3 linked regions of the Stegostoma tigrinum genome follow. The protein of the gene in region 2 interacts with the protein of the main gene of each other region in a pairwise test. Links are inferred from orthologs where the notes say so. Each region holds a gene or a part of one and is shown on either strand. Other genes may lie near its edges.

What was found.
Region 1: the proteins of ipo13b (region 2) and pitx1 interact in binary tests that used the Homo sapiens proteins (3 or more experiments, as listed by UniProt). The link is inferred for Stegostoma tigrinum from reciprocal best matches to the Homo sapiens genes IPO13 and PITX1.
Region 3: the proteins of ipo13b (region 2) and paired box protein Pax-6 interact in a two-hybrid assay, tested with the Homo sapiens proteins (2 studies listed by BioGRID and IntAct). The link is inferred for Stegostoma tigrinum from reciprocal best matches to the Homo sapiens genes IPO13 and PAX6.

The regions. Positions count from the first base shown.
Region 1 is NC_081366.1:31,311,197-31,319,256, reverse strand, and holds the start of pitx1 (pituitary homeobox 1), read left to right. Parts: upstream 1-5,051; 5' UTR 5,052-5,066; coding exon 5,067-5,081; intron 5,082-8,060. UniProt on the Homo sapiens protein: Sequence-specific transcription factor that binds gene promoters and activates their transcription. May play a role in the development of anterior structures, and in particular, the brain and facies and in specifying the identity or structure of hindlimb.
Region 2 is NC_081361.1:64,764,410-64,771,695, reverse strand, and holds the start of ipo13b (importin-13), read right to left. Parts: upstream 3,069-7,286; 5' UTR 2,409-3,068; coding exon 2,346-2,408; intron 1-2,345. UniProt on the Homo sapiens protein: Functions in nuclear protein import as nuclear transport receptor. Serves as receptor for nuclear localization signals (NLS) in cargo substrates.
Region 3 is NC_081370.1:42,718,451-42,726,336, forward strand, and holds the start of paired box protein Pax-6, read right to left. Parts: upstream 3,057-7,886; 5' UTR 2,807-3,056; coding exon 2,789-2,806; intron 971-2,788; coding exon 844-970; intron 1-843. UniProt on the Homo sapiens protein: Transcription factor with important functions in the development of the eye, nose, central nervous system and pancreas. Required for the differentiation of pancreatic islet alpha cells.

The sequences.
Region 1 (8,060 bases), on a different chromosome or scaffold from region 2:
GTCCTGCGCACACTGATCTACTTTGTCTTCCAGTCTGTCAATGCCTTGATTTTTACATTTTAGTCCTTCTTTTGAGTCCATCCATTGATTTGTTATTCCTGTTTATGTACTTTTCTCTGCCCCTGCAGCCCTCTGCTATCCTCCAATTCTGCTGTCATATACATCCCTGATTTGAATTGCTCTGTCTTTCCAAATGTACCTTCAGCCTCATAAACCCTCCAAACTGCCTTCCTAATCCATTCCCCTTTTAAGGTGCTCATTTAATTAAATGTCAAATTTGAGTAAGTTTTCTTGTAAACCTGTCCTGATGTTTAACAATATAGTCATTGATTTGATTTTGGGAAATGTAGGCAGCCAATTTCCATTATAATTTCAAGCAACCTGCATGAGAAGAAAAGTTTCTTGGATGGGTGATGTGAGATAACAAGGTGTAGAGCTGGATGAACACAGCAGGCCAAGCAGCATCAGAGGAGCAGAAGGCTGACGTTTCAGGTGTAGACCCTTCTTCAGAAATGGAGGAGGGTAAGGGGGTTCTGAAATAAAAAGGAAGAGAGGGTGAGGCAGATAGGAGATGGATAGAGGAGTAGATATATGGAGAGGAGACAGACCGGTCAAAGAGGCGGGTGTGGAGCCAGTAAAGGTGAGTGTAGGTGGAGAGTTAGGGAGGAAATAGGTCAGTCTAAGGAGGACGGACAGGTCAAGGGGGCGGGAAGAGGTTAGTAGGTAGAAGATCGGGTTGGGGCTTGAGGTGGGAGGAGACAATAGGTGGGAGGAAGGACAGGTTAGGGAGGCTGGGACAAGCTGGGCTGGTTTTTGGGATGTGGCATGGGGAGGGGAGATTTTGAAGCTTGTGAAGCCCACATTGATACCATTGGGCTCCAGGGTTCCCAAGTAGAATATGAGGTGCTGTTCCTGCAACCTTCGGGTGGCATTGTTGTGGCACTGCAGGAGGCCTAGGATGGACATGTCATCTGAGGAATGGGAGGAGGCATTGAAATGGTTCATGACTGGGAGGTGCAGTTGTTTAGTGCGAACCGAGCAAATGTATTCTGCAAAGTAGTCCCCAAGCCTCCGCTTGGTTTCCCCGATGTAGAGGAGGCCACAATGGGAATAGCAGACGCAGTGTATCACAGTAACAGATGTGCAGGTGAACATCTGCTTGATGTGGAAAGTCTTCTTGGGGCCTAGGATGGGGGTGAGGGAAGAGGTGTAGGGGCAGGCATAGCACTTCCTGCAGTTGCAGGGGAAAGTATCGGGTGTGGTGGAGGGGAGTGTGGAGCAAACAAGGGAGTCACGGAGGGAGTGGTCCCTCCAGAAAGCAGATAAGGGTAGGGAGGGGAAAATGTCTTTGGTGGTGGGGTCAGATTGCAGATGGCGGAAGTGTCAGAGGATGACTGGTGGGATCCGGAGGTTGGTGAGGTGGTACATGAGGATGAGGGGGATTCTGTTTTAGTTGTTCTTGTCAGGAGGGGGCGTGAGGGATGAGTTGTGAGAAATGTGGGAGACACGGTCTAGAGCATTGTCGACCACTAAGGTGGGAGAGTTGTAGTCCTTGAAAAATGAGGACATCTGAAATGTACGGGAGTGGAATGCCTCATCCTGGGAGCAGATGTGGCCGAAATGAAGGAATTAGGAATAGGGGATGGCATTTTTGCAGGAAGGTGGGCGGGAGGAGGTGTATTCTAGGTAGCTATGGGAGTCAGTAGGCTTGAAATGGATATCAATTTCCAGGTGGCTGCCAGAGATGGAGACAGAGGGGTCCAGGAAGGAGAGGGAGGTATCAGAGAAGGTCCAGGTGAACTTAAGATTGGGATGGAAGGTGTTGGTGAAGTGGGTGAACTGTTTGAGCTCCTCATGGTAACATGAGGCCGCACCAATACAGTCATCAATGTAACTGAGGAAGAGGTGGGGTGTAGGGCCAGTGTAGGTACGGAAGAGGGATAGTTCCACATAACCTACAAAGAGGCAGGCATAGCTTGGGCCCATGTGGGCACCCATGGCAACCCCCTTTGTCTGTAGGAAGTGGGAGGAATTGAAAGAGAAGTTGTTGAGGGTGAGGACAAGTTCAGTTAAACAGATGATTGTGTCAGTGGAAGGGGACTGGTTGGGTCTGTGGGACAGGAAGAAGCAGAAGGTCTTTAGGCCATCTATATGGGGAATTCAGGTGTATAGGGACTGGGTGTCCATGGTAAAGATGAGGTGTTGGGGACCAGGGAAGTGGATGTTTTGGAGGAGGTAGAGGGCATGGGTGGTGTCACGGACATTGGTAGGAAGTTCCTGGACTGAGCGGGAGAAAATGGAGTCAAAATAGTTGGAGATAAGTTTGGTGGGGCAGGAGCAGGTGGAAACAATGGGTCGACCAGGGCAGCCAGGTTTGTGGATTTTGGGAAAGAGATAGTGGGGTTGGGGAACCACGAGGTTGGAGGCTGTGGATGGGAGGTCACCTGAGGTGATGAGGCTGTGGATGGTTTGGGAGATGATGATTTGGTGGTTGGGGTAGGGTCATGATCAAGGAGGCGGGAGCAAGAGGTGTCAGAGAGCTGGCGCCTGGCCTCTTGAAGTGGTGATGTTGGTTCACAATTACAGGTAGTTCTGCTATAACGCATGTTTTGTTAATGCGAATTGGCTGTAACACGATTGATGAACTGTGGACGCTGTTTCCATAATGAGAACTTTCTGCAGTACAGTACAGTAATTCCCCAATAACGCGATTTTCTATGGCGATTTTCTTTAGCGTGAGGTCACACAAGAATCCAAGTATGGTGTTCTTGGAGAACTATCGCGTACATGTTCTTCAGGTCTGCAAGCGTTGTCCCCTAGCACACAAAAACGGCAACTGCTGGAGAAACGCAACAGGTCTGACAGCGTCTGTGGAGAGAAGGCAAAGTATTGGGTCACTGGACTCGAAGTGCAGCTTTGTTTTTCCTCCACGGATGCTGGCCGACCTAGTACATTCCTCCAGCATCTTCTGTTTTTGTGTGTTCCAGATCTCCAGCATCCGCGTTCTTTGTTTTATTTTACAGTCGGCCTCCATTCTATTTTGAAAAATAGCATAGTCGAGACCTCAGCTTCAACATCTCATTTGAAACATTGCACCTCTGCCAATGTAGCACTCCCTGAACCCTCCACTGAAAGCATCAACTTGGATAAAGTATGTTCCAATCTTTGGAAGGAACTGATGACATGCTGACTAAGACACAAAAGCACAATCAGTGAGCCAGGGTAACACCTAATTTGTGTTTCTCCATCACACAAAGTATTTACACATACATTTTGATAATTGCATTTCTACTCAAAACAACAGAGTGCTATAATTGATTTTAATGTTTATATACCACACAGACTATGGTTATACTGTAACTAAGAAATCTGCTTAGTAGGAAGATCAGCCAACAATGTAACGTGTGCAAACAAACTGAAAACTTGCATTCTGACTACTTAGGGAATGAAGCTGTGTATACTTGCACACGTGCGCAGAACTCCATTCTCTCTGCCAGTACATTTTTTAACAAACTCAAACAGAAGTATTCACTTCATAAAAACGAGTGTAGAAAATGTACTGGCGACGCAATGGAATACTTGGAGCATTTTTAAAACCTACTTACATGCCTTTGGGATTACATTTCGCTCTGTGTCCAATCCAAAACTTGCGGCTGAATGTCTCACAGCACCGGTTTGCACATTTTCTGCAGACAAATTGGGATTTGACTACAAGTGCTGTCTGCCAGTTGGATGACAGCGACACGCTAAACTTGCTTAATGGGTTGAAGACACGTAATGGTTTCAGCGTTAAAATTAAATTCACTAATTTATTGTAGAGCTGTGTAAAACAATAAAATTGTTCCAGTTGGGTGTTTATAAATAACGAAATGTTTACTGTTTTTCATGATGTAACAGTGTACCTCACAAAGGCCCACGGCACAATCACATAAACACTGGACCCCCACTAAACAATGTGAGAGCGTTTGGGGTGAATTTTACACCCAGGTGTGGCTGGTTTGTTGAGTTCCTTATTCCCATCCGATTAGTGCCTCCGTTCCAAGAAAGGCCCGCTCGCTACGTTGTACGTCCGGACAGTCAGTTCCCCTCCGCAATAGTAAACTCAGAGCGAACGGCCCTGTTTTATCACAGGGGATATGTGACGCGGTGAAATGCTTAGTGAAGGGCTGAAGGGTGAAATATGTATGTGATGCGCTTCTCTCTCTTGGAAATTGTGAAATGAATTAATTAATAATAAACAATTCGCCAGCTGTCACGACTGAATTTGCACCGAAGTGCGTCCTCTGGGCAATTAAATACCAAATAAAAACCGATGTCCTCTTTCTAGGAAAGTTAATGTACCTAATCCGCTTGTTTACAATGTAATCTCTTCTAAAAGATTATGAAAGCAACACTTTAGTTTATATTCCAACATAAACAGATGAAAGGTGCTCATAATTTGCCGAGGATCAAAGGGGCTTAGGACATGACTGTAGTAATTCTTATTGTGAGGGAGGGTCTTGTGCCAATGCCCCAATGGAAGCCAACGAGAGAGGGTGGTCGACCTTAAAGAAGCAGCTTCCTCTGCCTTTACCAACCGTTAGAATTGCACCCATTCTCTCCCAGTTATAACCACTGCCGAGCACAGAGCGCCGACTCATTCATTTGCCCTGAACGAAACAAACATGACATCCAGCTTCTTACATAACCTGTGCTGTGCTTGAGCGCACACACACAGCCCTGGCCCGAGGGTGGGAGGCCTGACGTCACCTGTCAGCCAGGGAGACAGCTGCCGAGGTTCAGGAACGGAACCAAACTCCGGATCGAGTGCAAAGCCAGCCGGCCTCCTGCACTGCGCTGGAACTATGCTTTCAATTCATGCGGAAACAGCATGTACCGAAGACAGCGAAAGCTGCAAGTCATGCACATAAATGGTGAGTCCCCTCGCTCCTAGCTCGCCCGCGTGAAGAATAGAATGGGGGAAATGAAAACACGTGCTTTTGTAAAAACGTTGCAATGTCGATAAATTCAGCTGCTCACCAGCATTTCAAACAGGATTCTCACAAAGACGAGCAGACCAAGGCAATATGATTAAAGGTCAGGTAAAAGCAGCCAGTCAGGCGTATTTATTCTTTACTGTTTGGTTTTCATTCTCTCCCGCCCGCTATGTTATTTCGAACCTTGCGCTTTCCCAGGGCATTTTGTTCGCTGACTGTGGGAATAGAGATTTTGAGGGGGCTTTTTTTTTCACTTAGAACTCTGACGTTGCGGCGGGGTTTGGGGTATTTTCTGTTATTTCACACCGCATAGAAGCCGTGTGAGGGAACCCGACAGTTCCTCTCGAATGCAGCACACCAAAAAGTTTGAAAATGTCATTTCAGCGCGGAAACCAGAAAAAAACTGCAGATGAGTTCCGAGGAAGTTAACTCGAATTTCTCTGCACAAGCGCTGCCAGACCTACTGAGCTTTCCCAGCAATTTCTGTTTTTGTTTCATTTCAGCACGATGTTTGTACATGATGGAGTGAAACCGAGTCCTGGTAGACAAGCGAGGAGTATAAATTAGTCCTCGCCTTCTATCTATTTGAAAAACTTTATAATCGGCTTTTTCTTACTTTACGGTATTTGTTTCTGACCGAATATAACTTCTTGATTTGAGATTTTAAACAATCGAAGTTTTGCTGTCGGGTTATAGAGAGAGAAGGCCCTTTCCTCAGCAGCAGCATTACAGACGCTCTCAGAATGGATCTCGACCCAACCTGCAGAGCGGTTGTTAGCGTGGTTCAACATGTTACTGCAGCGATAAAGTATAGAAAGCGAGCAAAAATAAATAACACGCATAGTTTTTAAATGAAATATGTCGCTATTGGGTTCGGGTAGATTACAGGCAGTCATAGATTCGCACTTGGAAACAAAACAAACCATAAACGCACGATGATAATTATACCTGGGGACAGATCCAACTCGAGAAAACGTTAAGTGACTGGAATCGAAGGCAACCCGGTCCCTAGAAGCTACTGGTAGAGAGATTTGTGTTTCCATCAAAGAACAAGAGAGTGTTCACGCTGGTTCTTTAATGTAAACAAACACTTACTACGTGTTGAGGTAAATAAAACTGTATTTGGCTATAGATTTTAGCAATAATGTAGGCTGTAATGTAAATGCATACGTGTGCGGAACAGCTTTTGGGTGGATAGTTTGCGACCGATAACTTTGTTTACAAAATTTATTTACAAGATTTGCAAGATCAAAATTAGTGGTTTTTATAAATTGGAAACAGAAATTGCCGGAAAAGCTCAGCAGCTTTTCTGCAGCAACTATGGAGAGTAATCAGAGTTAATATTTCGGATCCACTGACCCTTCGCACCCGCATTTCTTTGCTTTTTTTGTGTGTTTTTTATCTTCGGCAACCGAATGCCCCGGACTGGAACGTGAACACGATTTTATTTTCAGTCAGTCTGTGATTTCCTGTTAAGCTAAAGAATTTAGTATGTATCAGCATAACGGCTGTGTCCTAACTCAGTGCCCCTGTGAATGCCAAATGAAATCGAAAGTCCAGTTAAAAAGATAAGTTGGTGACAGTGGAACAGTATTTTCTTTGACAAATGTGATCCTGTGAAAGACAGACCTAGTGAATAATCGTTTAGTTTGTTTAGAGGCCTTACCTGCTGGATTGGCTTTGATTGCAATTACTTGCCCCAGTAGTACCTTTCTACTTCTACAATATAATGATTTGTTAACTGCAATCATTCAGATTCAAACATTGCAGTTAAACTAGCAAAGGTCATTTTCGTCCAACACCTGACTCACTTCACATAGCGAAAAAGGTAAAATGTCCTTCAGATTTTTCAAGACATCCACTTATACAGATTTAGTTTTTTTTGTTACTGAGCCCCGTCCAAATGCTCTCCGTGAACGTAATCTACCAACACCTTACAAGAGACAACCTTGAAAACTGGCTTACCTTGAACTGTGTGGTGCAATAGTCGCCCGTAGGTATGATGTCGAACAACCTTTAAAAGTAGCAATGGGGAGCAATGCGATTTGATCTTTGTACAATGTTCCTGGGCCAGTTCCTAGACACCTGATCGCTGGCAGAGATGAAAATCTTACGAGAGAAGGCCGTACGGGTACGTGTTCGGAGGCGGCGGTATTTAAGAGTGCAGATTTGCACAGAGCAAACCTAAGATAATTTCCAATACGAAATGTTACTCTGTCCAAATCATTTATCATTGCCGAAACCTGATCAATAACAGTTATAGATTGAAATATTTGAGTGAAATTCTTCGGCGTGTTAACGTTGCTCATATAAAGAACTTCAGTATTCTTTGGAGGCTAATCATTACAAATTAATAGATGTCATCCCGAGACCTTTGCTATTTTCTACAGATCTGGCTACATCGTTTGTGTGATGTTGGTGAATTATTTCACGCAGTTTTTCTAATGGATGAAATGTGTATCCAGAATTGAAGTGTCGGGCACAAAGTGGGCACTATGAGCCCGGATGGAACCTCTTTATTTAAAAAAAAGTTTATACACTGTATTGTGAGAAGCAATCAAGTTTCTCCTTACATGGCCTCTGCCAGAGGATTGATTCTCCCTCTACCAACTCAGGACGGAAACGAATGGGAAGCGGGGTGGGGATATGTCAGGAAAATCCTGAAATCTGATCGCCGCCCTTTGCAGAGAGTTCTGCTGATCGTAGTATTTAAGACCATAATTGGAACGATTTGTATGTGGAGTCACAACACGGCCAATTTGAAAATTTTCTCCTTTGGGAATAGATAAATGTTTCAAATACGCTAGTGCTATCTTTTCGTCGGCAAAGGGGAAGCAAACTGTACTTGGGCGAACATGTGTATTCGTTAATATAATCAACAAGCAATGCTATCCGATGAAGAAAAAGGATTTGACAAGCAAATTGCTGACAGAATCAGTGTGTCCCTTGCGCCAAGATTCCGCATCTCGCTTGTCAATGGCAACTCAAACATATAAGGGTCAATGGCTTGACTACTGAACTGATTTGTTAATTAGCTACGAGCGTTAATTTTAGGGAATAAAGAATTTAGATTTTTTTCTGAAA
Region 2 (7,286 bases):
TCACCAAGGGGCAGCATGTGAGGATGATGAGTCAAAGGGGACTAAATGCAAGAGAACAGGGACTGGAGAAAGAGATCACCGAGCTGTTCTCCTACGATCAAGACAGCCAAGACTGGAATTAACCCAGTGTAAACCCACCAACGTGCACACCAGAGAAAAGGCATTGAAGGACAAAGGTGTGGATGGTCATTTCAACAATTATACAGAGGTCAAGGAAGGAAAATGCATCACAGTTTGTGGATGTAATTAGCTAATTTGTAAAAAGCTGTCCCAGTGCTGCAGTAAAGACAGAATACAGATTCAAGCATGTACTGCAAGAAAGAAGAACAGAGATTTGGGAAACAGCATGATCTAGGACCTCAGAGGAAGACTGCAGGTAAATGATTTGGAAAAGGAGGCATAGATGGGGGTACGATGGTGAGGGTGGAGGGACAGGGTGAAGTGGCCTTTTAAGGACCGAGCAGATGATAAACATTTTAAAAAGAGGGAAGCATGTATAGTGTCTCTTTGCATTATACCAGCAAGGGAAGCTGATTGGTTTGAGGTTGAATGATAAGGCAATTGCAAATAGTGGAATTCAGCCCGAGACAGTTGATGGGGAAGCAACAGAATACATGCCAAGAGTGTGGCACTTCTAGCATGATAAAGATAAAGCTTCAGACTTCCTAATGTCAAACCAGAGGAAATTTTAACTCATCTAAAATTAGATATTTTTGTATTCCCTCAGTGACCGGCAGACCTACGCACCAAAACTTGTTGCTGCTATGACATTGGCTTCAGGTATAGCATCAACTCCTGCATGCCTTCAGCACCCAGATCATCAGGTTCACCTCACTGCTTCTCTCATCTTCTGGAAAAATGTCTTAAAAATCAACGTCCGAAAAATTTAACTCACCAACCACTGACTTACCATAGTTTTCTGTTACTCCAATAGCATAGGAATAATTTCTGTAAAGTCATAAATACAATGTGTATTTTTTTCTAAATTGTCTAGTTAAACAGACATGAAAAGCTGCAGATGTATTTCAAAAGAGGTAACTTTGAAGGGATTACTATTTTAAAAAAAACTTGGATTTCTAAAAACAATTTCAGCAATGCAGCTTCCGGATATTCCTTCTAGTAAAACTTTATTGGCTCAGGGAGAAAGCAAAGGTGACTTAAAACTACAAACAACAAAAGCAAAGCTGCCGGAAAAGCTCTGCAGGTCTGGCAGCATCTGTAAAGGAAAAAACAGAGTTAACATTTCAGGTCCAGTGACCCTTTCTCAGAACTGGACCTGAAACATTAACTCTGATTGTTCCTTCACAGATGCTGCCAGACCTGCAGAGCTTTTCCAGCAACTTTGTTTTTGTTCCTGATTCACAGCATCTGCAGTTCTTTTGGTCATCACTTAAACTCGGTTCATAGGTCAAACACAGTTCTGAGCTGAGCTTATGGATCAGAGAAGAAGTTCAAAGAAGGTGAAGAAGAATCATGCTAAGGGAAGATCATCTTTCAGGAGGTCTATACATTTTAAGAATGGAATTTAAGTGCAAAGAAGAGACCAAAAACTCTGTTCTGACCTAATTACACTTTGCCTGTTCTAAATCAGACTGCCCTGACCTCATTCTCACATTGGTTAAACCTCCCACAGCCAAGATTCTGTTTCCCAAGCACTGTTATTGACAAGTCAGCTTCAACTCAATAACTCATGAGCATAATACAAAATAGTTGAAAAGGATTGATTTACATAGCACTTGTTACTGAAGTCATAAATAATCCCATACAATAAAATAACATAGGCATGCATTATAAAAGATCACTTTCATAAAAGGACCTTGATATGTCAACAAGTAGCTCTATGTTCAAAACATTAAACATCCATGCAGACTTCATGTATGATGTCACTTAAAAAAATGCATTCCCCCTCAGGCTAAATAAAGCAAGCTAAGTGTTTCTTGCTCCATTCTGAAATCAAACAATATCAGCCTTAGATATTTACAAACAAACAGATTTGTGAAACAAAATATAACAAGCGATTCAAAGTTAACATGTTAACCCCATTCATACATCAGAAGTTTAGCTCCAATAATTGTGTCAAAGGTAACTGTAGTTGATGGTGCCATTTAATAATTTTTTAAAAAAATTTACAATCTGGCTACAACGGGTACACTTTCTTTATTACTAACTAGACAAAAAGACAATTTTCTAATATTGTTACATTTACGGCTCAGTATTAATGGAACTAGGTATACACATGCCTGGTAATGATTTTGAAGTACCTACAAGCTACGAGTTCACAGAACACAATTAGGATGATGAAAGGTAACGTGTTACAAATAAACGAAACTGATATATAGTCTTACCTTTTCGACGTTTGCTACTGAGTAATCTAAATTATCTTCGCTCTCTCCTCTTTCGCGATCCATTTTTAGTGCTGGGAGGGAAGAATATTACAGCCTATTGTTGCTTTTCCCTTTCAGTTTACCAGCAGCCCTATCGTGATGGAGGTGGAAGGGGGGGGTTGGGGGGAAAAGGGGAGGGGTTGATGACAGTCAGGATGACCCTGTACCAGTTTTCGCTTCCCTCCACCTCAGAATGATAGCCTAAGCAGACCTCCTTCTTTGTGCGCCCTTTCCCTCCTTGGCCAGCTCTCTTTAAATTAACTGGGAGCGCTGCATCGTCCGCCCTGAATGAATCACAACGTGGACGATAACAATGGCGATTGCTCGGAGAGGTGGTGAGTGGCTACACACACTGACTTGCTCTTCTGCTTTGAATTTCTCGCAGACACCTCAGGGCCTGCGCTGACAGATCCAAGGGGTCCTAGCGGCATCAAGGGTGGTTGCTCAGGCGCCGTTTCCAAAGGAACGACTAAAATAAATAAATCAGCAACTGTACCCCTACAACCAGAATTATCTTTTCGTTTTTGACAATAAGGGGAAGGACATAAACAAATAAAGGACTTGCACTTGTTAACTGGCCCTAGGGACCATTTGAAAATCAGTGTTTTAACCTAGCTGGCGGCACTACACAGAAGCGCATACGCATTTTGCCAACCAGCAGACTGGATGATGTCGTTGTCTTCTCTGCCGTCGAGCATTCTGGGTAATGTAGTCCTCAGTCCCACCACCACCGTTCAACGCAATGTAATTTCCCAACTGCCACCTTCCTCCGCACCTGATACAACAGTACTTCATTTCCCAAGGAGCATTGCGCAAACACTCCGCAAACTCACCGCAAGGCAGAGAAGATCCCACGTGCCCAGATTGCTGCCGCATTGATTGGGTAGCCAGGTTGATCAATTAGCACTTGTGTGTTCAGGTTCATGCGGGACGGGATGTACTGCTCTAAGCTGCGTCTTTGACGCCGTTATTAAAATAGGCGAAGAGCAACTACGTTTATATAGTCCATTTGTTTTAGGGAAACGCCTTAAACAGCCTCCCAGAGGATTAACCAAGCAAAACAAAAAATGGATTCGAGACAAAGTGAGGAATAAATGTTCAAGGGTCGAAACGTGTTTTTTTTAAACGAATGACTTTTATTTTTACAATTCACCGCCGCTAATTCTATCACTCAATCCGATATACTTTTCCGTCAAATAGCTCTGCTGTCGTCTAAGGGTAATAGTGTCCCTATCATTTTTCCCTAGAAAAGCATATGTATATTTACACTTATTGTACTATTGATAAAGGAGGTATTCTTATAGATGCCATTTCCAGACACACAGAATTCATTTTCAAGCGTGAACTTTCACATATAAGAATATACGTTCACTTTAAAAGCATGCATGGCAGTACCTACTTCACGTCAATAATAAAATACAAACCTGCATTTATTTCAGATATAGCCATGCATACATGAATGTGCACACAAAAATCCCACAATCCTTCTTCTTCCAATTATCAACAGCATTCTTTCCTTTAACAGATTAAGTCAAAGTGCTCCTGAATTTGCTGATTTTTAAAAATGTGTGAGCATTGTCATTGGTTATGCTTATCATACAAGGCATCGCATTCTGGCTTGCTGGAGCTCTTTGTGAATATTGTTTCCTTTCCTCACAGTGATTCCAAAGTTTCTTTGAGCACATGCATATCCGAATTGCATTGTATTTAGGATTGAGAGTGGGTCAAAAACTAACTACATTCTAACTGTTTAGCTAACTTCTGATTCAGTATCAATTCCAAAATATCATGTACTTTGGATGTGTTCATCAATCATTTGATTTAGTTGCAAGTTTATATGCTGTTAGTCAAAATAATGTGGTAAAGGTGTTTTGAGTTGATTCACAATGTTCCACTATAGAGTCATAGAGCTGTACAACATGGAAACAGACCTCATCCATGCTGACCAGATATCCTAAATTAATCTAGTCCTATTTTCCAGCATTTGACGCCTATCCCTCTAAACCCTTCCTATTCATATACGCATCCAGAGAGATGCCTTTTAAAGGTTGTGGTTTTACCAGCCTCCACTACTTTCTCTGGCAGCTCATTCCATATACACACCACCCTCTGTGTGAAAACGTTGCCCCTTAAGTCTCTTTTAAGTATTTTCCCCTCACATATAGCAGCCTCCTGGCTGCTAAAACACAGATTGCCAACTTGGCCAAACAGCAAGGAGTATGGAGGAGTGATAATGGGAACTGCAGATGCTGGAGAATCCCTGATAACAAAGTGTGGAGCTGGATGAACACAACAGGCCAAGCAGCATCTCAGGAGCACAAAAGCTGACGTTTCGGGCCTAGACCCAGAGATGAAGGGTCTCTGATCTCTGATGAAGGGTCTAGGCCCGAAACGTCAGCTTTTGTGCTCCTGAGATGCTGCTTGGCCTGCTGTGTTCATCCAGCTCCAAACTTTGTTAGCAGGGATATGGAGGACACTGGTCAAATGAAACTGTGAAATCACAAAACCCATATACCTCACACAGTACAAACACAGCATCCAGATGCTAATGATATTAGCATAATGTAAAAGCCAACAGTCTGCACAGACACCCCAACAATTTAGCCAAATAAAGGGCAGCCCAGACAGAAAGACACTGAGTCCTGCTACACAAAGTAACTTGACAGTCGCAGGCCATCTAAATGATTGACTGAGTGGAGCTGGAGGAACACAGCAGGCCAGACAACATCTGAGGAGCAGAAAAGTTGACATTTCAGTTCAGCAGCCTTTTTTAGAACTGGGGAGGGGAAAGGGAGCTCAGAAGTAAACAGAGAGAGGAGGGGTGGGTCTGGGGAAGGTAGGTGAGATGGTGATAGGTGAGTGTAGGTAGGGGTGGTGGGGATTGGTCAGTGGGATGAAAACGGGGGTGGGGAGATTTTAAAGGTAGTGAAAATCCATGTTTAGGCTTTCAGCTGTAGGCTCCAGAAGTGGAATATGAGGTGCTGTTCTTTCAATTTCTGGGTCGTGTCACTGTGACACTGGAGGAGGCCCAGGATGGACATGTCACCCAGGGAATGGGACGGGGAGGTAAAATCGTTGTCCTTTGTCATGCACAGAGCGCAGATGCTCGACAAAACAATCTCCAAGTCTCTGCTTCGTCTCACAGCTGTAGAGGAGGCCACATTGGGAACAGCAGATGCATCATTCTGCCTCGGGAGTCTGCAGACCGATGGCCTAAACATGGATTTCACCAGTTTTAAAATATTCCCAACCCTGGCCTCATCCCATGTCCAACCTTCCCTCTCATCCCAGCCTCCTTGACCTGACACAACCTGTCCATCTTCTCTGCCACCTATCCACCCTTTCCACCTCAATGACCAATCCCCACCACTCCCTAACTGTATTCACCTATCAACATCCCACTTACCTTCCCCAGCCTCATCCCTTTCTCTATTTATTTCTCAGCTCCCGTCTCTCTCCCCTTTCTGAAGGGTCCTGACCCGAAATGTCAAGTTTCCTGCCCCTCCAATGCTGTCTGGCCTGCTGTGTTCCTCCAGCTCCATACTGTGTTGTCTCTGACAAGAGCATCTGCAGTTCTTGCTATCTCTAAATGACTGACTTGTGTTTCGAACTATTAAGTGCATCTCCCTGATTGGTCAGAACTCAAAGTTCCAGAAAAACATCTAAAATGAATAAAAACAGAGTTCATCTGCAGACTTCTCTCTCGGAACCATCCGAGGCCTTCGAAGCAGACCAGAAAGGCTGGAGGCAGAGATCAGCTGATCAGACAGAGGGAGGAAGAAGAGAGATAACAAGGTGTAAAGCTGGATGAACACAGCAGGCCAAGCAGCATCAGAGAAGCAGGAAAGATGACATTTCAGGCCGAGACCCTTCTTGAGTTCTAGAGATCAAGCCGCAGGGAGAGCAACTGTGTAAATTTATAAGATACTGAGGAAGTATTGTAACTGTTAGCGACCAAAAAGGATTGGGATAGTATGTTTATTATTAATGAAGGAAGGAATGTTTTGCTCCGGTACTGGCTTGTGTTCATATTAATTTGACTGCTTTGGTATTGTGGGACACCTGGGCAAATTCATTCATAAACTTCTCGTTGGAATTGTCTGCAACTTGTTTAAAGAGGAACCAGACAAAACACCTTAAACCTACACCTTCTAATTTTGGACTTCGCCCTCATGCCCCTCATGATTTTATAAACTTCTATAGGGTCACCCCTCAGCCGCCAATGCTCCAGGGAAAACAGCCCTAGCCTATTCAGTTTCTCCCTGTAACTGAAACCCTCCAACCCTGGCAATATCCCTGTAAATCTTTTCTGAACCCTTTTAAGTTTCACAACATCCTATAGCAGGTAGATTAGAATTAGACGCAGTATTCCAAAAGTGGCCTGACAAAGTCCTGTACAGCTGTAACATGACCTGTCAACTCCTATACTCAATGGGACTGACCAAGAAAAGCAAGTATATCAAACACCTTCTTCTCAATCCTGTCTACTTGCAACTCCACTTTCAAGGAACTATGAACCTGCATCCCAAGGTCTCTTTGTTCAGTGACACTCCCTGGGGCCTTACTATTAAGTGTATAAGTTCTGCCCTGATTTGTTTTTCCAAAATGCAGGACCTCAAATTTATCTAAATTAAACTCCATCTGTCACTCCTCAGCTCATCTGAGATAACCGTCTTCACCATCCACTACACCACCAATTTTGGTGGCATCTGCAAACTTACTAACCATCCCTTCTATGTTCACATCGGAATCATTTATATAATTGACAAAAATCAGTGGACCAGCACCAAACTTTGTGGCACAGGCCTCCAGTCTGAAAAGGAACCCTTCACCACCATCCTTGGCCGAGAGCCTTTGCGTCAGTTCTGTATCCAAATGACTACTTCTCTTTGTCTTCCACGT
Region 3 (7,886 bases), on a different chromosome or scaffold from region 2:
TCGGGAACTTTTTCTATTCTTCTCTCTCGGACGAAATAAAACGTTTCTTCTTCCTCTAACAGGACTGAAAAAATTAGCAGATCAAATATTCCGTTCTTCCCTAACCGGCGAATAAAGGCCAAATTCGATGCAAACAAGTTCACTTTTACAATGTCCTCACGGAGCATAACATGATATCAAAACTATTTAAAACCACTGGCTGCTGTTCTCGCTTTAAGGTTAGCCAATCAACTTTGTTTAGCATTACTAACTGAGATTAGTTTTTGGCTTTTAAAATCAATAAGGAATTGGATGGCAGGAACCAATGGCTCCACCCCAGGAATCTCTTGCCTGTGAGTTGATGATATTAATCGTTACCGTTAGCACAGGTTGGTGCAGTATAGTGCTATTAAAACACTTGCTGCCTAGAAAATAGCGTGCAATAATCTCCCAGATTAAACAATTCCTACAAAAACACGCTTCCTTTACTTGCACAGACGTAACAGAGAGGTTGTGTCAGATCATAGAGGCTATAGGAAACCCTGAACAACGAAAATGTCAAAAAGTTTATTAAACCATCTGTGCAATTCGTTTGAACTGGTCTTAGTACAATCACACTTTACGTTCCTTTCGCATTCTGTATTATTGCAAGGGGACGTGCTTTAGCGGACTTCCTGTCCGAAGGCAGCAGCGAATATTGTCGGTTTCAGAAGAGCTAATAAATTGTAAAATTAACGTTTTAATTTCAACCCCTCCCAACAGACAAGCACAATCTTCCTCATCTTGAGAAGTCTGACTCATTAATCGCACTAGCGCAGAAACAGACCTCGTCTCCTTGTATTAGCAAACCAAGCTACCAAGTACCTTTCACAATCCACAGAATACTTAAAGTCGTCTTGTCTAATCCAGTCGGTAGAATGTAGAGATGCACGATTTCTGACAACTTATCCCAGCGTCTGTGCCTGGCGGATACTTTATGCCTATCTGTGTACTGAACACAAAATATATTTTGAGCTATCATATCGACACGAACTGAGATAATACCCCATTATTTTTCGACTACACTCAGAGAGAATCTTTGCTGGGTGTGCCCGCCTGTTAGTTTTCTAGAGTCACTCATGCTCTATGACAAAAACAAAATTAAGAACAGAAACTAGATAACACGTCTCTATGCGGAAGCCTGCCCTCTCCCCGTTTAAGCAATTTTTAAAATCTCTGCACATGTGAATTGTACTGATAGCCGGAAAATGTTGCTCAATCAGATGTCCCGAAAGGTCAATGGGAGATTCAGTTTAAAAACACCTTCCTGGCGAAATGCAATGGGCTTTAAATGCACATTGGTCTGCATTGGAAGGGGTGGGGGTTAGTTGGGCAAAGGGCTTCTAGTCAGGCCAATTATGTTACAGACCTATCTCGACATGACAGCTGGATAAACAGTATCTCTGATAAACCTCTCTAATGAGGGAGGAGGGTCCGCGTTACAAGGCGCTTGATTTATTACAAAGGTATGGTCCACTACCGGTGTGCCCCATGTACAGTAGAACCTTCACCTGACCCCAGCTCCTAACATAGCCACAATAGCTAGCCCGGAATATGATTTGTGGTCCTCCGACGAGGAGGAGAAACTGGAATACACACAACAAACAAAGTGAAACCTCGTAAGGTGAGTTGGGTTATGCTTTTATATAAATGACCAATAACAAACTAAAGCATAAGTTGAACAGGATTCTTCAAATTCAGGTTGTGAAGTCTGAACCTTGATTGCCAAACAGGTAGTCCTAGGTTGATGTCTACGGCGCAATTATCCTGGCTAGTGAAAAGAGAACAATTCTTCTTCAACATAGCTGCAGATTCTTTCGCTTCGAAGAAGTTTCCTTTAAATGTCCTTTTTTGTTGTTATTGCATTCTTAATACGACACGACCGCGCTTGAAATTCACCAGTGAACTGTTAAGTATCTAAAACCCTAAAATCGCTCCGACATATTCAAACCCCTGACACGCACAGGGAAGTGACAGGGGCTTATGTAACATGAAGCCGCTGCTTGTATTTTTTTTTACCTTGATTGTTGCTTAGACGCCAAAAGGCCGCAGAAATCAAACGAGTTCTTGGGATTTCAAAGTGCTGCCAACCTGCGTGCAGCTCTTTCCTAAGACTCGACACTTTTTTAAATGGGGAAAATGAAAGCAACTTCGAAAAGCGAAGCCACCCAAATCTCCCTCGCAGATAGGAGTGTGATGTGGCTGGAGGTGATTGAAAAATCGTCTTTTAATGCCGTCCCCCAACCCACTCCTCGCCACCCCCGCTTCAGAGAGGCAGTTGTCAACTACAACAACAAAAAGGTTTGGTCTGTTCCCGTACCACCTGTTACCAGATGTTGAGATCAACTTTGCTGGAACCTCGCAGACCGTGTTTCCTATATCCTAGCAAATTAACTCCCCTTCTCCCGCGCCCCAGCACTTGCAGCTTGGTGCAGCCGCAAATTTTAGAATGATATTCGCCTGATGTAATTAATATTTGCACTCTGTCCGTCGCAACACCAGCAGTAAGTGTGATTGCTAGAACAATTCCGAAAGACGATCTCTAAATATTTCATGTAAACGGAGCTTATATCAGGCGTACAGAAAACAAAACACCGAAGTGTACAACGAGCATGTTACAGAGGTGGAAAGGATAACACAGAAATAGGCGATCGAAACAGATATTCTGCACACTCAAAATAAATAAAGGAAAGGAGGGAGAGAAGGTTATTAGAAGAAGCCAGAAGCAGACTGCAGCTGTAAGGTGAGGACGAAGCTGGAACTCTCGTACCTGAATCAAGTCGTACATCGGCGATTCAACACTTTCACTTTGGTTTCCCGGGTCCGGTCAGTGTATAAGAACGGTGGGAGGTTTTGGTCTCTTTTTTTCACATTGGGCTCTCGCTCAGAGTTTAAATGTCACCGGGACTATGGGACGGCTTTTCGTTCAAACACAAACTTTCCCCCTTAATATCAGTGTCAGGCCAACGCTGATTGGACCAGGCGCCTGCGTGACGCAATGACACCCTGTGCAAACACAAGGGCTGCACTTCACGCCAGGCCTAGCGCCGTTCTCGCTTCAAGTGGAGATTTCCTTCTGGTTAGATATGACCGCCACCTCCAACCCCACCCTATCCCCACCAACCCAATCTCCTCCTGTTAAAGAAACGCCGTGTTGTGACATACAGAAAGTGCGGAAGCACTCAGTGAATGCTGAAAAATTATTTTCTTTTGCCAATGTTACAATGCCCCTTTAAGAAAAGAGTGGCCTCGCGTTATTTCCCTTATAAGGCCATTTATCCTAAAGCAACATTGCAAGTAATGAGTCCATAAAGTTTTCATAGTTCTGACTCAGATTAGTGTTGATGGCAGCATAATGGATTCAGTCATCATTATATAAATATATGAATATGCAAATATGTCTCAAAGTCTATATCTTATATATCATATGAATGGGAGCAGCGAATTCTGCAAACTCGCACTGTGGCGATATTTTAATGACAGATTCTATGTGTACTCCAAAGCTGCATGTATACTGTAAGAATAGTACATTTTAAACAAGCACTGGAACTCGCTGTCAGTGAATTATTTTTGCTCAGCGTGTTTCCTATTTTGATATTTCTAAGGGTGCTTTGTGGTACACATGTATTTCAGGGTAAAGAAAGTGATGTTTATCTGGTGTGAAGTATTAGACACCAGACCTCATATAACAATTATTCACACAATTAAGTCCCACAGTCTGACATTAAGTGGGAAAACATTCACCAGAACTAATAATTGCTTGATATAATTTATCATTCACTTCAGGTCTACGGCCGTGTCTCCGTGATTTAGTCCGAAGTCACCAATAAAGTAAACATTGATCCATTGGTTCTCCGTTCTGTTTGTTGAATGGGTTCAGTCAGGTAGAAAAATCAACTTTCTGCTTCTGGCTGGATACCTTCATTAAAACGGTAACTAGCCTTAGCGCAGCGAAAACAGATCGAAAGTGCAACCCCTCCAACCGTATTACCTGACCCTTTATCTTTCAAACGTACACCCATTGCACACACCGTCTATGAAAATGCCTTAAATACTTGTCAAGAGGAATAAAATCAAGGTTTACATTTCCCGTCTACTGTAATGCGCTGTAATAAAATGATTTTTTCTCTTTATTCTTTAGAATATCTCAAAATACAGGAAGATTGGAAAATGAGCTGTGCAAACCTTTGCATATCTTCATTACAATTAACTAATGCATTTGAATCTTATTCATCGTTAAAGGAACATCCGGGATTATTCGGTTTAAAGATGTAAACTCAGAGGACACGTGCATATATTGGCCTCATTGTATCTGCATATACATGTTCATGTACGTATTTTGATCTCTTGCTGGTTATTTCTAATCAGCTTTAATGCGTGCATTTGCACCTTTGTCTTCACGATATTTATCAGCCTGTTTGGGCATTTAATTTACCACGCTCTCGTACTTCCTGCAGACTTGCTGGTTTTCACAAAGACCATTATTTATACACATTTTGTAGAGTAAATAATTTATTAGGAACTTCCCTCACACCCTCCATTCTCAGCAACGGTTTGCGGTTTCTAATGAACCATTCCAGCAAAATGATCTTCATGCGCGTTGCACTGTCTTGGTTCCGCAACTACGTGTGGTCCGAACGAGCCTGACTTTCACTATGAAAGTTGCATTGAGGGACTGAAGGACAAATCTGACCCACTTGGGCAACTTACGGCGAAAAGACACTGCGTTCCCGATTTTAAAAAAGAGTTCTTATTGGAGATTTATGCAACCAGTTGCAATGCTTGTTTTGCTACAGTGAGGAGAGAATGTTCATTGCTCCAAATTCACCTTTAAGAAGTCCTTGCTCAGGCTTGTCCTCGTTTGTATTAAAGGTAGGATACTCTATCACGTTTTTAAATCGGCCTAAATGAAGCAAAAGGCGTTTAAAATAAATGTGTGTGTTTGAAAGGAAACAGAAGCAAGTAGTGTTTGTTCCCACCGTGGATCTGGTGGAACAATATGTTGGCAAGTATGGCAGGAAGTGACTGTTTCAACAGATTTCTTTTAAAAGGAGAACTATCAGGGAAAAGTGCTTTGCTAATGATGCAACCCGTTGCTATTAGGGGATGGGAGCTCTGAAACCGTGCAACCGACCAGGGTTCTCCAAGGAAGCGCTGGAAAGGTCGCGCTGCCCCTTATCTGTCTCTCGGCAAAGGCAAGCGCCGCTAAAACAGAGCCAGGTGTTACCTTGCTCTCTTCAAACTGCACAACTCTCCAAAAGGAGCTCATCCGTGAATCAATCTGTGCCGCCAGACCCGTCGCCAGAGCGCAAGATTGTTCAAATGGCCTCCATCACGAGCATTTGATGAGTTTATTTTGTGTTTTAATTGTGGATAGGTGTCAGAGCGAGCGGAAGTTAACTGATTGTTAACGTGGTGTTGGGGCTGTTTCATCTATTCCTTTCTCGGTGTTAAAAGTTCTGCACTGTGATTGCAGTAGGAAAGAAAGCAATAGGTAGAACACGGGTCAATTTTTATTTTGGTGACATCACTGACTTACCACAGTTCTGTCTGTCCAATGCCTGGCTGTTCTAAGATGCTGTTGCAAGTTGTATCCAAAGTGAAATGGGTGTAAAATTGTGACTGTTTTACAATGTCGATTCAGTTGTTACTTAAATATTAAAGTTATTCATATCAAAATGAAAACTCACATTTTGTCGCATTATTGTTATTATTGTTTTAATAACTTGTTACAGTGCGTCGAGTTATAAAGTAAACAAAACACATAGATAAGCTTTTGTCTACCTTTTAAATCGGACAATTATATTTCGGTGCATTTTGCCCATAAAATATGCAATACTTGTCCTTCGCTTTACGGTGTGAATGAAAGATGTCAAATCAGTACCCCTTTGTACGTTTCACAGTCCCTGTGGGTGCAATGAACAGTGTGTTATGTCGGGTGGAAATTGATTGCCTTCAGTTGGTAGAAATTTACATGGCAGCATCAAGACTGTATTACAAGTGTAGAGTATTTGGACACAATTAAATGTCATTTATTCTATGGAAATTAGCATTCAGATCATTTGTTCAAAGATGTTCGTTGTGTATACACTGCGGATTTTTTGAAGAGTCAGAAGTAGGTGAAGATACCTCCTTGGCTGACAGAACATGTTCAATACTGCGGGTTTAAGATGTTATTTTACGTATTTTAAATTTCTTTGTATGATCTCACTTTACTGAAAGGCAAACCAGCTGTTTGCTCGATTTGCAGTTTGCATGGTGCCTCGACATTGCTCTTTTAAAGTGTATTTTAAGGAAGCTTGTATATTTTTCAGTCGTCTTTCACCTTCAGTTGGATTTGATAGAAGGAAATCGCATTTTTCCAAATGTCTTCAAAGGTTCCAATCTTCCACTTCCTTTTGAAAGCAAAGAGCATGGCAAAACATCTCTGCAAATGCATTAATGTGCTGACTCGTTAGGTGACTTCAAGTAAATGAGAGTTCCGTTTCTGAGTGTGGCCATCCACGCGGTTTACACATGTAGGCTCGCAAATCTGAGAGCTGCGGTCTCTTTAATGATAGCATTCTTAACATGAGGTGCAAGACTCCTGTCAGAAATTTAATTAATTAACCTGCCTATTCATGCAGTTTAAATAATGACATGAACCTGGCTGGCGCGTACTAAAATTATTTGAGAAATTGAATGCCTGGACAATGCGAGTGGGTTGGACGCAACGGCCGAAAGTTTCCTTTTTTTAAAAAAAAGAACTGTTTTATTCAATTTGGCAGGAATGACTAAGTGAAGTAGAATTTTGCTACAAGGGTGTTTGCAAAGCTACCTGGGTAATAACGAAATTTTGACCCGAATGGTCGACAGGTGAGCGAAATAGACTAAATCCATTTTAAGATTGAGTGCTACTGCGCCTTTACATACTGCAGCAGGCAACGTCAAAATGCATAACTAAATAAAACAAGCCTTTTATAGTCTGCAAACAACAATGAACTCTTATCAACCTAGTAATCCGTATGTCCTCTCCCACCTCCCTATCCTTAGCCCGCAATTCCCAACATGGCTTCCTGATCCTTAAATTTGACTCGACTGACTGGGGTCTTCCTGACACCCCCTCCAGTAATTGAAACGTATTCTTCCTGACACGGACACACACTGTATTTCATCTGTGATCCAACTCGAAGGCAAATGCTGAACAACGGTAATAAGTGTATACCAGATTACGATCACTCGGTGGATTCAGAAGGAGTCCGTTTCACCAAACGGTAACGGAAAATGTAACGATCTCAAAAAAAGGTCTGACTCATTTTGATCTGCACCTTCATCAAAAAGCGAGATGCAAACAATTAGTGTTTGTCTAAGTTTCGGGAGTCCATCTGCTTTCTTTACACTGTCGGTAAAGGAAGTCCATGGTAGATATTTTAAACAGAGGGGGAGGTGGGGGGAAATGCAAGGTTTCAACATTGAACCTGTAAAAAGCAACAGGACAACTCTGCGTCGTTCCTCTTCTTCACTGCAAGCAGGAAAAAATAACGAAAACAAAATATGGAGAATCGAATGAAACAATCCCGAAATGATCCAAGTCTCCCCTCAGTCCGATTTGTGGTATCAGGTTAATTTCGACATTGGTGATGTTTTACAGGACGATCAGCTTCCAAAGTTAATCCTATTGTCACTGACGAACTCGACTCAAACTCAAAACCGCCGTTTACAAACAGCTTTTGCTCCTTAAATATTCAATTACCAAAAAAAGCAGTTTCTTGCGGTAACCTTTGGAGCATCAGCAGAAATCGGGCAACTAGGCTACAATAGATAGTTTTATATGCGTAATATGCTTGTGATTTCACAAAATGCATATCAACTGACGTGATACATATTTC